Arabidopsis thaliana: one gene and its partners. The protein of the gene in region 2 interacts with the protein of the main gene of each other region in a pairwise test. Each region holds a gene or a part of one and is shown on either strand. Other genes may lie near its edges.

Evidence for each region.
Region 1: the proteins of AT3G23600 (region 2) and AT2G42770 interact in a protein complementation assay, tested with the Arabidopsis thaliana proteins (one large-scale study listed by BioGRID).
Region 3: the proteins of AT3G23600 (region 2) and CHX27 interact in a protein complementation assay, tested with the Arabidopsis thaliana proteins (one large-scale study listed by BioGRID).

Annotation. Positions count from the first base shown.
Region 1 is NC_003071.7:17,798,102-17,801,855, forward strand, and holds AT2G42770 (Peroxisomal membrane 22 kDa (Mpv17/PMP22) family protein), read right to left. Parts: upstream 1,972-3,754; 5' UTR 1,827-1,971; coding exon 1,545-1,826; intron 1,221-1,544; coding exon 1,065-1,220; intron 981-1,064; coding exon 848-980; intron 766-847; coding exon 726-765; intron 622-725; coding exon 534-621; 3' UTR 165-533; downstream 1-164. Other genes in the region: AT2G42780 (transcription elongation factor B polypeptide), read left to right, coding at 2,936-3,112, 3,217-3,357, 3,436-3,514, 3,639-3,701.
Region 2 is NC_003074.8:8,471,611-8,475,364, forward strand, and holds the start of AT3G23600 (alpha/beta-Hydrolases superfamily protein), read left to right. Parts: upstream 1-2,016; 5' UTR 2,017-2,222; coding exon 2,223-2,370; intron 2,371-2,538; coding exon 2,539-2,560; intron 2,561-2,909; coding exon 2,910-3,036; intron 3,037-3,194; coding exon 3,195-3,285; intron 3,286-3,379; coding exon 3,380-3,469; intron 3,470-3,729; coding exon 3,730-3,754. Other genes in the region: RFR1 (REF4-related 1), read left to right, coding at 1-174, 363-569, 739-1,859.
Region 3 is NC_003076.8:255,507-259,260, reverse strand, and holds the start of CHX27 (cation/H+ exchanger 27), read right to left. Parts: upstream 1,956-3,754; 5' UTR 1,852-1,955; coding exon 1,633-1,851; intron 1,493-1,632; coding exon 980-1,492; intron 746-979; coding exon 248-745; intron 166-247; coding exon 1-165. Other genes in the region: CHX26 (cation/H+ exchanger 26), read left to right, coding at 2,621-2,833, 2,964-3,754. UniProt on the Arabidopsis thaliana protein: May operate as a cation/H(+) antiporter.

The DNA of each region.
Region 1 (3,754 bases), on a different chromosome or scaffold from region 2:
AAGTAGCCGTACTATATATCTCAAAACATAAAAATCAAGTTGTTTCTCAGTACAACAAATATACAATTTAAACATTATTAAGCCTAAAATTAAAACAATAATATCTAAAATACGGAATACGGTAAATAAAGGCATTTGAATTCATAAAATAAATGGTGGAAAAATCAGGCCAATCACTGAGAATAAAATTAAAAGGTTAAGTCATAAGATTCAAAAGTTTAAAGTAATTTGTTACTGAGAGTTAAAATGATAAAAATTCAAAAATTATACAGTAACTTCTCGAAACTAATAATCCCAACACCCACAAGTAGTTGAACTCAAGAAAAACACTCAAACTAAAGTTTTTAGAGGAGATAGTTTTCCATGAGTTTGATCAGAGTAACACATTAGTTGTGCGATACTCAAAGAAAGGAAGGAGTGAGGATGAGAAGAGCCTTCCATAGTCTCTTGGTAAACAGTAATTTTGTATTTGAAACCTTTCAGAATGATATATTATCACTCAGCGAGGCTGAAGAATACAAATATAAATGTAACTACTTGCTCATAGTTGAAGATAAGTAGAAGTTCCAAAACACAGAACCCATGGACATGAACGCTACTCGAGCTTGAAGCGGGACTACCCTGTAAATTTCACCTTTCATCAGACCTCAATCCTATTATACATAATCACACAATCTATAAAGACCCTCTCCAAATGACTTAATGATAGAGAAAGAAAGCCATACCAAAAGTTAAGTATGCTAACGGGAACCCAGAAGCGAAATCCTGCAGTAATCCCAAGAACAGTAAATATTTGAACGATGCTATGTAATAGTAAAAAAATTACTCTCTGTAATTGGTAGCTCACCATAAAGAAGCGTAGGAAGAGCATCTTTCTGATACTTGTTTCCAAGCTCAGAGAGCTTTCCCAGCCACAAGTTGTTCCAAGCAAATATAACAGCAATCACAGATGGACCAAGGATTACTTGGTTAAGCAGAACCTAACATGGGATCAGTATAAGCAGTAAAAACTATATCACAACGTGTTCCAAGTACAAATTAACAAAACACGCCTAGATTTGTACCTTAAGCACTAGATTTGTCGCAGTTGGTTTAGGCAAAGAATGATCAAGGAATTGGTACCACGCATAAGAACCAGGACCATACAAGAGAAACCCGTAAGAACTCATCCGCAGCGCACGAATCCAGTCATGTTCTGAGAAAATGTTCCACAATTCCCCCTAAGTAAAACGATCCAATCATAAATCCTTAGTCTCAAGCCAAGTTCCACCAATGTACGAGACCATTTTGCAAGAGAGTAAATATGAGTCACCCCAACAAGAATTCAAATCAAACATAACCTAACCAAAGACTGTCACTACTCACTAAACAACCATACTCACCAACATTTTTGGTTATGCAAAGATCCAGTTTCAGTAGAATTCTCACTATACCACACTAGGAACTTGATTCATGTAATATTTCAAACAATCAAAACATTCACTAAAACCTCTAAAATTCAAATCTATGACTCGAAAATAACCAAAACTTGGTCAGAGACAAACCTCGTCAAGCTCAGAAGATGATTGTTTAAGAGCGGTTCTCTTTTTCCATCTCCCTGATAGCTGAGCAATCGTGTCACCGGTGAAAGTGAGTGCTCCGGCCGTCACAGCTTGCTTCAAAGGAAACCGATAACCGCCGGCGTCTCTGCTCACATCGACGGAATCCGACGATCCAGAATTACGTTTCTTACCTCTATCACCGGAAGACTTCTTCTTTCTCCGTTGATCGAAGCCATTCCATCCCCAGAAACCACCAGCGCCGCCGCAACCACCCAATGCGTCCATTAAAAATGCTTCCTTTTGCGTCGAAACAGAGAAGAGTTTTGCCTAAATCTTAAAAATCGCAAATGAGTCCTGTCCATTTGTTTTTTCCGGTTTGGTTCGATTCCAATTTATTGGATCTTGGGTTTTCGGAAACAGGTCAAAAGTCAAACCAATTCTGAACCGAACGAATGTTATCAAACTGAAAGGATCAAACCAATTTATTGGATCTTGGGTTTTAATCAGTATTATATCTTTTTGAGGTCTCTATATTTATTTCACTGAATTTCGATTTATTTTGTTCAGTCCATATGATTCGGTATAAGAATTAATCTATAGTTTGAGTTAATATTCGGTTCATTTATTTTGATTTGGTTCGGTTTTATGCTTAGTGTACATAAAACGATGTGTTCACGTGAAACCGGTGAAGGCGCGATCAGACAGGCGCGGTGGTTAATAAATAAGTTAATAACTTACTCGTTACTAGGGCCGATAATCGTGGTTTTGAACGCGCGTTTACGAGAATTGCGTTAGCCAATTGTATTCATCATCATCATCGTCATCATCGTTGGGGTGAGTATACATACGATTAAAGAAACCCAAAAACTCCGGCGTCTGTTTACCGCTATCATCATTCTTCCGGGAAGAGGAAAAGGTTTCTTCGATCGTCGAAGAGATTCTTTGGACAAGTCCCCTCCTTCCTGGTTCAATCTTCGATTCAGCTCTCTTTTAATTTTTTTGGTAACCTCCTCCTCTGCATCTACTGTTTTCGATTTGGAAATAGATTGGTTCAATTGTGAATTGGAATTGAGGGTTTGATTGATTGGATCATCTCAATTCATAAATCAAATCCTTTGAATTTAGATTTAGAAAGCTCTAGAGTTTATGAAGATCTGCATCGTTCTTATGAGTTATATGATTGATGGATTTTTTAGTGTAAAGGAACCTACTTTAATGATCAAAGCTAACGTTTTGTTTAAATTTTGAGGCAAAATTCAAATTTATTCATATGAATATTCTCATAAGCTGATGAATTCTGTATCTTTGTACATTAGTGATATAGTCTACTTGTGTGTATCCTTGTTAATTCATATTTAAAGTGTGTTTTTTCTTGTAGGTTTTGGGAAGCTGCTATGTTATTTGAGAGGCTTACCAAGAAACCACCTTCGCTTGTTGATCTTTGCGTAAGGAAAGCGATTGATAATGTAAAGTACATTGGATATGTTGGTGGGGTTGATTTTCAGCTCCTTGAGCAGATTCTGCAACACTGTACACTAGAACAGCTGAAGCACATAGAGGATGCTACTGACGTAACAAGCTTTTCTCATTATATGGCACGATTAATCTTTTGTATGTTTTGCTGGGGGTTTTTTTAATCGTAAGTTATGCTTTTTCGTTGTTTTTGTTCTGCTAGGACACAGATCTTAGTCCAATCACCGATAAGTTTTGGAAGGGATTCTATAAGAAGCACTATGGAGAAGAGGACATGAAGGATCTTATAGAGGACCTGGAGTGGAATAAAGTAAATGATTTCAAATGGAGGAACTTATATGAGGTTGGTTTTTTTTTCAAGTCTTGATACATATTTAAGTGTTGAAATATTTAAGATATACATGCACATGGTTTCGTGCAGTTGAAGGTTATAGCTGTGCAACAAAAGGAGAAGGAACTTGGTGGTCGACTGAAAGAACGTTACAAGGACGAAAATGAAAGTATAACTTTTTACGAATCTGTCTTTTGTTATGGCCGTTAGCTCAATGATGAGAAGCATGTTCTTTGACCAAAATATTTTCTTCTTTCGTTCCCTTGTAATCGTTTTCAGTTTCCTTTTGTCAGGGAAACAAAGTCGACAAACTAAGGTCTGCTCGAAAGCTCCTCCAAGCAAAAGACCATTTTGGGGTAACACATTTTTTTAATCTAAATGATTTCTTGCAGCATCTGGTCAGATCTTG
Region 2 (3,754 bases):
CTTTAAATCCAGTAAATTCGGGCACAAGCAGTTCATCAGGAGCTGCAAGTGAAGATAGCAATATTAGACCTGAGTTTCCTGCTTGGGATATCCTCAAAGCCGTTCCATATGTTGTCGATGCTGCTTTAACCGCTTGTACTCATGGAAGGCTTTCGCCTCGTCAGTTAGCTACAGGTTTGTTTTGTTTTGCTGGATCAGATTCCTAATTGTGTTGTCATGTGCGATAACATCCGTCTATATGACCTTTGGCAACTCTGAATGCCAATGAGAGATGTTTGACTGTGTTGATCAGTTGTTATATCAGATGCATTTCTTACAGTAAAGTGAATTTATTTACAGAATAACAAGTGTTTTTCTTTCAGGGCTGAAAGACTTAGCAGATTTTCTCCCGGCATCATTAGCAACGATAGTAAGCTATTTCTCAGCTGAGGTGAGTAGAGGTGTTTGGAAGCCAGTATTCATGAACGGCGTGGATTGGCCAAGTCCAGCTACAAATCTATCCACTGTTGAGGAATATATAACGAAAATTCTTGCAACAACAGGCGTCGATATCCCTAGCCTTGCTCCAGGTAAAACTATTCAACGTGTTTAAAATGCCAGTCTGTTTGTTTGGCTTACCATCTCTGTAGTCTGTACCATCCTCTCTTTATAATAAGCTTTTTACCTGTCCTGATTTGATGTGTTAAAGTTAAAGTTGTCTTTTGAACTTATGGTTGACTTCTTGCTGTGGTATTGCAGGAGGGAGTTCTCCGGCAACGCTTCCTTTACCTCTAGCCGCATTTGTTAGTCTAACCATTACTTACAAAATTGACAAAGCCTCAGAGCGGTTTCTCAACCTGGCTGGCCCAGCTCTGGAGTGCTTGGCTGCAGGCTGCCCTTGGCCTTGCATGCCCATTGTAGCTTCATTATGGACCCAAAAGGCGAAACGTTGGTTTGACTTCCTTGTTTTCTCTGCCTCTCGCACCGTCTTCCTTCACAACCAAGACGCTGTGATTCAGCTCCTCAGAAACTGCTTCAGTGCCACTCTGGGTTTGAATGCTGCCCCCATGTCAAATGATGGTGGCGTTGGAGCTCTTCTTGGCCATGGATTCGGCTCTCATTTCTATGGAGGGATCTCTCCTGTAGCACCAGGGATTCTTTATCTCCGTATGTATCGTGCTCTCAGAGATACTGTCTCCGTATCGGAAGAGATTCTCTCTCTGCTGATACATTCGGTGGAGGATATAGCCCAGAACAGGCTCTCAAAGGAGAAGCTGGAAAAGCTGAAGACAGTGAAGAACGGATCAAGATACGGCCAAAGTTCTCTAGCAACAGCAATGACTCAAGTGAAGCTTGCTGCTTCGCTGAGTGCCTCGTTGGTATGGCTAACCGGTGGCTTAGGTGTGGTCCACGTTCTCATCAAAGAAACGATCCCATCTTGGTTTCTATCAACTGACAAATCAGACCGAGAACAAGGACCATCGGATCTAGTTGCAGAGCTAAGAGGTCATGCCCTTGCCTACTTTGTGGTCCTATGTGGAGCACTTACTTGGGGCGTGGATTCAAGATCATCTGCATCCAAACGCCGCCGCCAAGCAATCTTGGGAAGCCACTTGGAGTTCATCGCGAGTGCCTTAGATGGGAAAATATCAGTGGGATGTGAAACAGCAACTTGGCGAACATATATTTCCGGTTTGGTGAGTCTAATGGTGAGCTGTTTGCCGCTCTGGGTGACAGAGATCGATACAGAAGTGTTAAAGAGTCTAAGCAATGGACTAAGAAAATGGGGAAAAGACGAGCTAGCGATTGTATTACTCTCCTTGGGAGGTCTCAAAACAATGGATTACGCAGCTGATTTCATCATTCATTTGCGTTCATAGCTTCTTAAAAAGTTTTGATCTTCTCCAGATTTCAGATAGTTGTTTGATAGATGTTTTTCTTCTAGTGTTTGCTTCCTTGTTGTGACTTGTGTTCTCTAGCTCCAGTGTTGTGTGATGAAATCAATCACGCATATGTATAGAGAGAAACAGAAAAAAAAAAAAAAAAAAAAAAAAAAAAAATCTTGTATAGAAAATATTAGTGTACTATTCTAGACCGTTAGATGGATTAGTGTTCTATTTGGAACCGTTAGATGACTCTCCGTTGATTAGTTGGTCACAAGTCACAACAACATGTTAAAAGAAAACGAATGATTGAGTTTGGTTTCTTTGTATCATCTCTCTGTTTTTCCGAAGAACTAACACATGTCGGGACCTCAGTGCTGTGAAAACCCGCCAACTCTTAACCCGGTTTCCGGGTCGGGTCATGTCGAGAAGCTGGGTGGGCTTGATGCCTACGTCTCCGGCTCTGCCGAGTCCAAGCTCTGCGTCCTCCTCATTTCTGATATTTTTGGTAAAATACTCTTCTTTCTTTGCTTTGATCTGTTTTGACTTTCTTTGTTTTAGTTGAAATATGATCGGAGTAATTAGGGTTTTTGTTTTTCTCTTTTTGGATCCGTTTTGTTGATTTGATCATTGCATCATTGTTGACTCTGACTTTAGGTACGTTTTTGTTCTTCAGGTTTTGAAGCTCCAAACTTAAGGTACTACTACTAATTCTTCCCTCTTCATCGATTCAACCATTAAAAATGGAATCTTTAACTTGGGTTTGTTTCTTTGAAGGAATTAGATAGTATTTAGTAGCCACATATGAGGTCTAGTTAGAATTTTCATTTGAGCCTGCAAATAGTTTTGTTGGTTTTGGATTATGTACAAGATGAAGCATACCTATCATGTGTCTTTAAGTTGACTTGTCTTTTCTGAACTCATTTGATAAGATCTAAATGTTTAATTTGAATCATTGCTTTGATTGCATTGCATTATCTCAAGTTTATCTTGTACAACTATGGAGGAATGTTTATGGAGTGTTAAGTCTTAATTTTATGTCTTAAGGGCGCTTGCGGACAAGGTTGCAGCTTCTGGATTCTATGTTGTGGTTCCTGATTACTTTGGTGGAGATCCTTATAATCCCTCTAACCAGGACAGACCCATCCCTGTCTGGATCAAAGACCATGGCTGTGTTCGTTCCTCCTCCTCTCCTCCTTATAATAACTGTCCTATACATTCTCAACTTCTATTTGAAGTTTTGTTAACAAGTTTGACTCAATGTATGTGTTATTGTTCTGTTATTTTGATAGATTCCATCTGAATCAGTTCATATCCTCTTTTGTTTTTCAGGATAAGGGCTTTGAAAACACGAAACCAGTACTTGAAACCATAAAGAACAAAGGCATAACTGCCATTGGAGCCGCAGGGATGTGTTGGGGTGGTGAGTTTTTGTTAGAAATCTATGCCTAAGAGATGTGACGCTCTCTTTTTGTCTAATGGATAGTACTTTTCTCTCTTGTGTTATTCATCTTCAGCAAAAGTAGTGGTGGAACTGTCTAAAGAAGAGCTTATTCAAGCAGCTGTGTTGCTTCATCCTTCTTTTGTCAATGTTGATGATATCAAAGGTTAGTGACTTTGCTACTTCCATCTTGATTCCTCACATAGAACCAAGGAACATTAGTTGTCATGCCTTGCCTAATGCGTTGTAACATTTAGAGTCACCTATAGGATTGCGTAACTGATCTCGCCATGATTAGATACTATCATTATTACTGTAAAGAATACTAATTCACATTTGCAAACATAAAAAACACTGTGATTGGTCCGGTTTCTTTACTTTCACCGGTCTTTGATGATCCTTATCAATTTCACGGGTTTATTGCAGGTGGGAAGGCTCCAATTGCTATATT
Region 3 (3,754 bases), on a different chromosome or scaffold from region 2:
GAGGATCCTTAGGGGAGCCTCCACTCGGCAGTGTTGCACCGTACGTCTCTTGTAAGGGTTGCGTTTGCTCATGGTTTGGTACAGTTTCTTCACTATCACTATGAAAATTGTCGAGTTTACCGTTGCTGACATCACCATTGCTCCAAAAGATTTGCTTGATATTTTCTGCACCCATTGACCATTATTGATTGTTATTGACCTAAAATTATATATGTTCCAAAGTATATCCTAAATGAATTATTGTTACCGTGTAATTGAAATTCTGTTTGTATATTTGAACGTCGTAAAGTCCTTGTATATTGACGATAAACCCGACAAGAATGGCGTGCCAAAGAGGCACTTTATAGTAAAGGGAAGGCAAGGCAATGGCTATCATTTTGGCAAACCTGACCACCCCAAAAAGTAGCTCAAACCGGATAACATCTCTCCAGGAAAACAGTGAGAGATCGATATTGAGGCCAATCCCAATGACGTAGCAAGGCATCAGGACAGACCAAACAAAACAACCGATTTTGTCTGACAGTCCCGTGCCTAGAGGCGGACGTTTTGGGGTGGCTAGACCTAAGACGACCGCACCAAAGAAGTAAGGTAAACCCACAAATTCTGCCCAGAGGCAGGAGATGAAGAGCAAGACGCATATAACAGAGAGATAGGAGGCCTTGAGAGAGTGTCCTTCTGGTGTTCGATTCTTCATCCACAGCATTAGTGGTCGGAACACATATGCTATCACCAATATCATTATCATCTGCATTCATTTCCGTCTTTATATCATTAATAAAAAAGCGTATATATAGATCAAAGCAAGTTTATACTATACGTAAATATTATTGGATTCATGCATTTTATTAGGATCTTAGTTAGTTTGTCTATTTTTGTAGGAATTTACACAGTCAATTATGTTTTTATAGTAAGAAAATTGGAAGATGTTCCAAAGCAAAATTTGTAGATTAATTAAGAAATTATTTATCAACTTGGGTACCTGTAAGACGGACAAGAAAGCAGCGCGATTTTTATTGGGTAAGTCAACATTAAGTTTAATGGCGATGTTAAGCATGAAAAAACACCAAGAGAGGCAGTCATGCACCATCATGGATGCAAGTGCTAACCTCCCTGGCTCAGTGTTCAACATCTTTAGGCTCGACAAGACTCCGTAAACCACCTGAAAAAACATTGTGGACTGGACGATCGCTACATGGTGGAACTCCACGGGAGGGATCCCCGCAGGCCCGCTTTTGAGCCTCTTGGAGATCAAGATGGCCGCGAATTGGCCCCATACGAAAGGTATGAGGAAAAGTAAGATGCCGTTTATGAATGCTAACTTGCCTACTCTCTTTATCATCCTAGTGTCTACTTGACATGTTGTGATGTAGCAAATGAAGAGAAAACATATGGCCTCGAAGGATTCGATTATGTACACGCTTCTCGCGTAGAAGAATGTAGCCATGTACTGTTTGTTACGTCCTATAACGGACGGTCCTAAGCAGATCCCAGCCTGCAAACAAATTCACTATTAAATATTAAGTCACATTTACACCATTATGGGCATGGCTATACATGTTTTTGAGACGACTAGTCCATATTTTTCCACTAGAAAGCTTCCAATTATAGATGCTTAGATATGGAAACGTATACCAGCATCTGAGTGAGGAATGCAAATTTTCCAAAAGGCCGAAGAAGAAACTGAAAAGATACGGAAAATATGGAAAAGACAGAAATCTGAAGGAGAAGAAGAGGAAGAGCAAACTTGAGCGGATTCTCTCCCCGGCCAATCCCCAAAGAGCCTGCACCTACCCATGGCTCGCAAAGCCAATCAACTCCTCCGTACTGAAAAGTTTTGGTTATATTTTCCATTCCCTCCTGCTAGGTATTTCCCCTAAAGAGTCAAGCCATAGAGGGAAAGAGAGAGATTGTGTTGTGAGTTGAAGAAAAGAAGAAAGTATTAATTATTCTCTTCTTTTTTTTGTTTCTGCTCTCTCTAGCTATATTTAGGGGTTTAATTGTACATGTTGTTTATCCTCTTGTTCTTTATTTCTCTTTAGAGGTCATCCTACTTTTAAGGTTTTCTATATATGTTTTCTGTGTGGTACAAAAATCTTGAGCATGGTCAGATGATCATCATTATAGCCTGAGATTGATTGCACAAACATGTGTGTTTGTAATATATATTTTGCATGTTGATGTTATAATAACCAACCTAGCTACTAAATCCATGAAGTTAGATCCCTAACAAAAAAAGATTAATTAATAATCAACCTAGTAATACTCCTTATAAGTATTAATTTAAAAAAGATCAGGATCAACAAAAAAATAAAACTATAATAAAAAAAAAATGTGTAAAATACCAAAAAATACATCTGCCAAAGTGAGATATGACATATATAATTTCCTATTTTTCTCTGACGGTTATAATAAAGTCAACACAAAATCCTTGAAAAAACAACAAAAACTGTTTAATATCTTAAAAAAGATACATGTATCTTCTTCCCCAGCTCAACAAGCTTGATCTGTTTGCTCAATTAGTTAGCGTTATGCTGAATTCAAAAACACAAACAAAAATGGTTATAAAGAAGAACGTGAATACTAGTTTTAAGAAGAAAAAATATTCCCAAAGAGAAACAAGATGAACAATAGTGTTACAAGTAATGGCACACATGAATTTGTATGCGAGGCATGGTTGGGATCAAGCTCTGGCGGATTACTTAGAGGAGATGATCCATTGAAATATTCAACTCCTCTTCTTCTTCTTCTCATTTCTCTCGTCTCTTCTCTCTCTTCCGTCTTCCAAGCTCTTCTCCGCCCTCTCGCAAATGTCGACTTCGTCACTCAAATTCTGGTATGTAATCACTTTATCATACCATTTTCTACGTTTTTTTTAATAAATTTTGGATCTCTCTATATTTCCCGCAAAGAAAAAAAGGTTTAAACTATAGAAGTGTGATATTTTGTTGGTATATATGAAACAGGCTGGGATATTCTTAGGACCCTCGGCTTTGGGACAAAACATTGATTTAGTAAAAAAATTATTCAACACAAGAAGCTATTTCATAATAGAATCATTTGAGGCAATATCCTTCATGTTCATCTCATACATAAGCACGGCTCAAGTGGACATGGGAGTTATAAAGCGAGGAGGCAAGCTAGCAATCATCAATGGATTATCTCTTTTTCTGTTTCCTTACGTGGTGGGCGCCATAGCATGTACAGTAATCACGAGCAACATCCGTGGAACCGTGGCGAAAAATAATCCCGAGCAGCTCCACAATTTACTAACAAACCAATCCGTAGTGTATTTTCAAGTGGCGTATTCGGTTTTGTCGAATCTCAAGATGCTGAACTCGGAGCCCGGAAGGTTAGCCCTCTCCTCCATAATGGTGGCTAACTGCTTCGGCTGGGGTTTTTTCCTCCTTTTGATTACCTTTGACAGTTTCTTGCATCAAAATTACTCCAAGACCACTTATCTGCCTACCTTCACAAAGGTACTACTGCTGGTTGGTATAGTAGTTGTGTGCCGACCAATATTCAACTGGATAGTGAAGAGAACCCCTGAAGGAAAGAAACTCAAGGCTTCCCATCTATGCACCATTTGCGTCATGTTGTGCACCGCCACTTTCCTGTCTGAAACTGTAGGGTTTCCTTACGTAGTCGGATCCGTGGCTCTCGGTCTTGTCACTCCTAAGACGCCTCCTTTCGGTACTGGTCTCACTGACAAGATCGGTAGCTTCTGTTATGCGGTTCTTATGCCGTGTTACGTCAT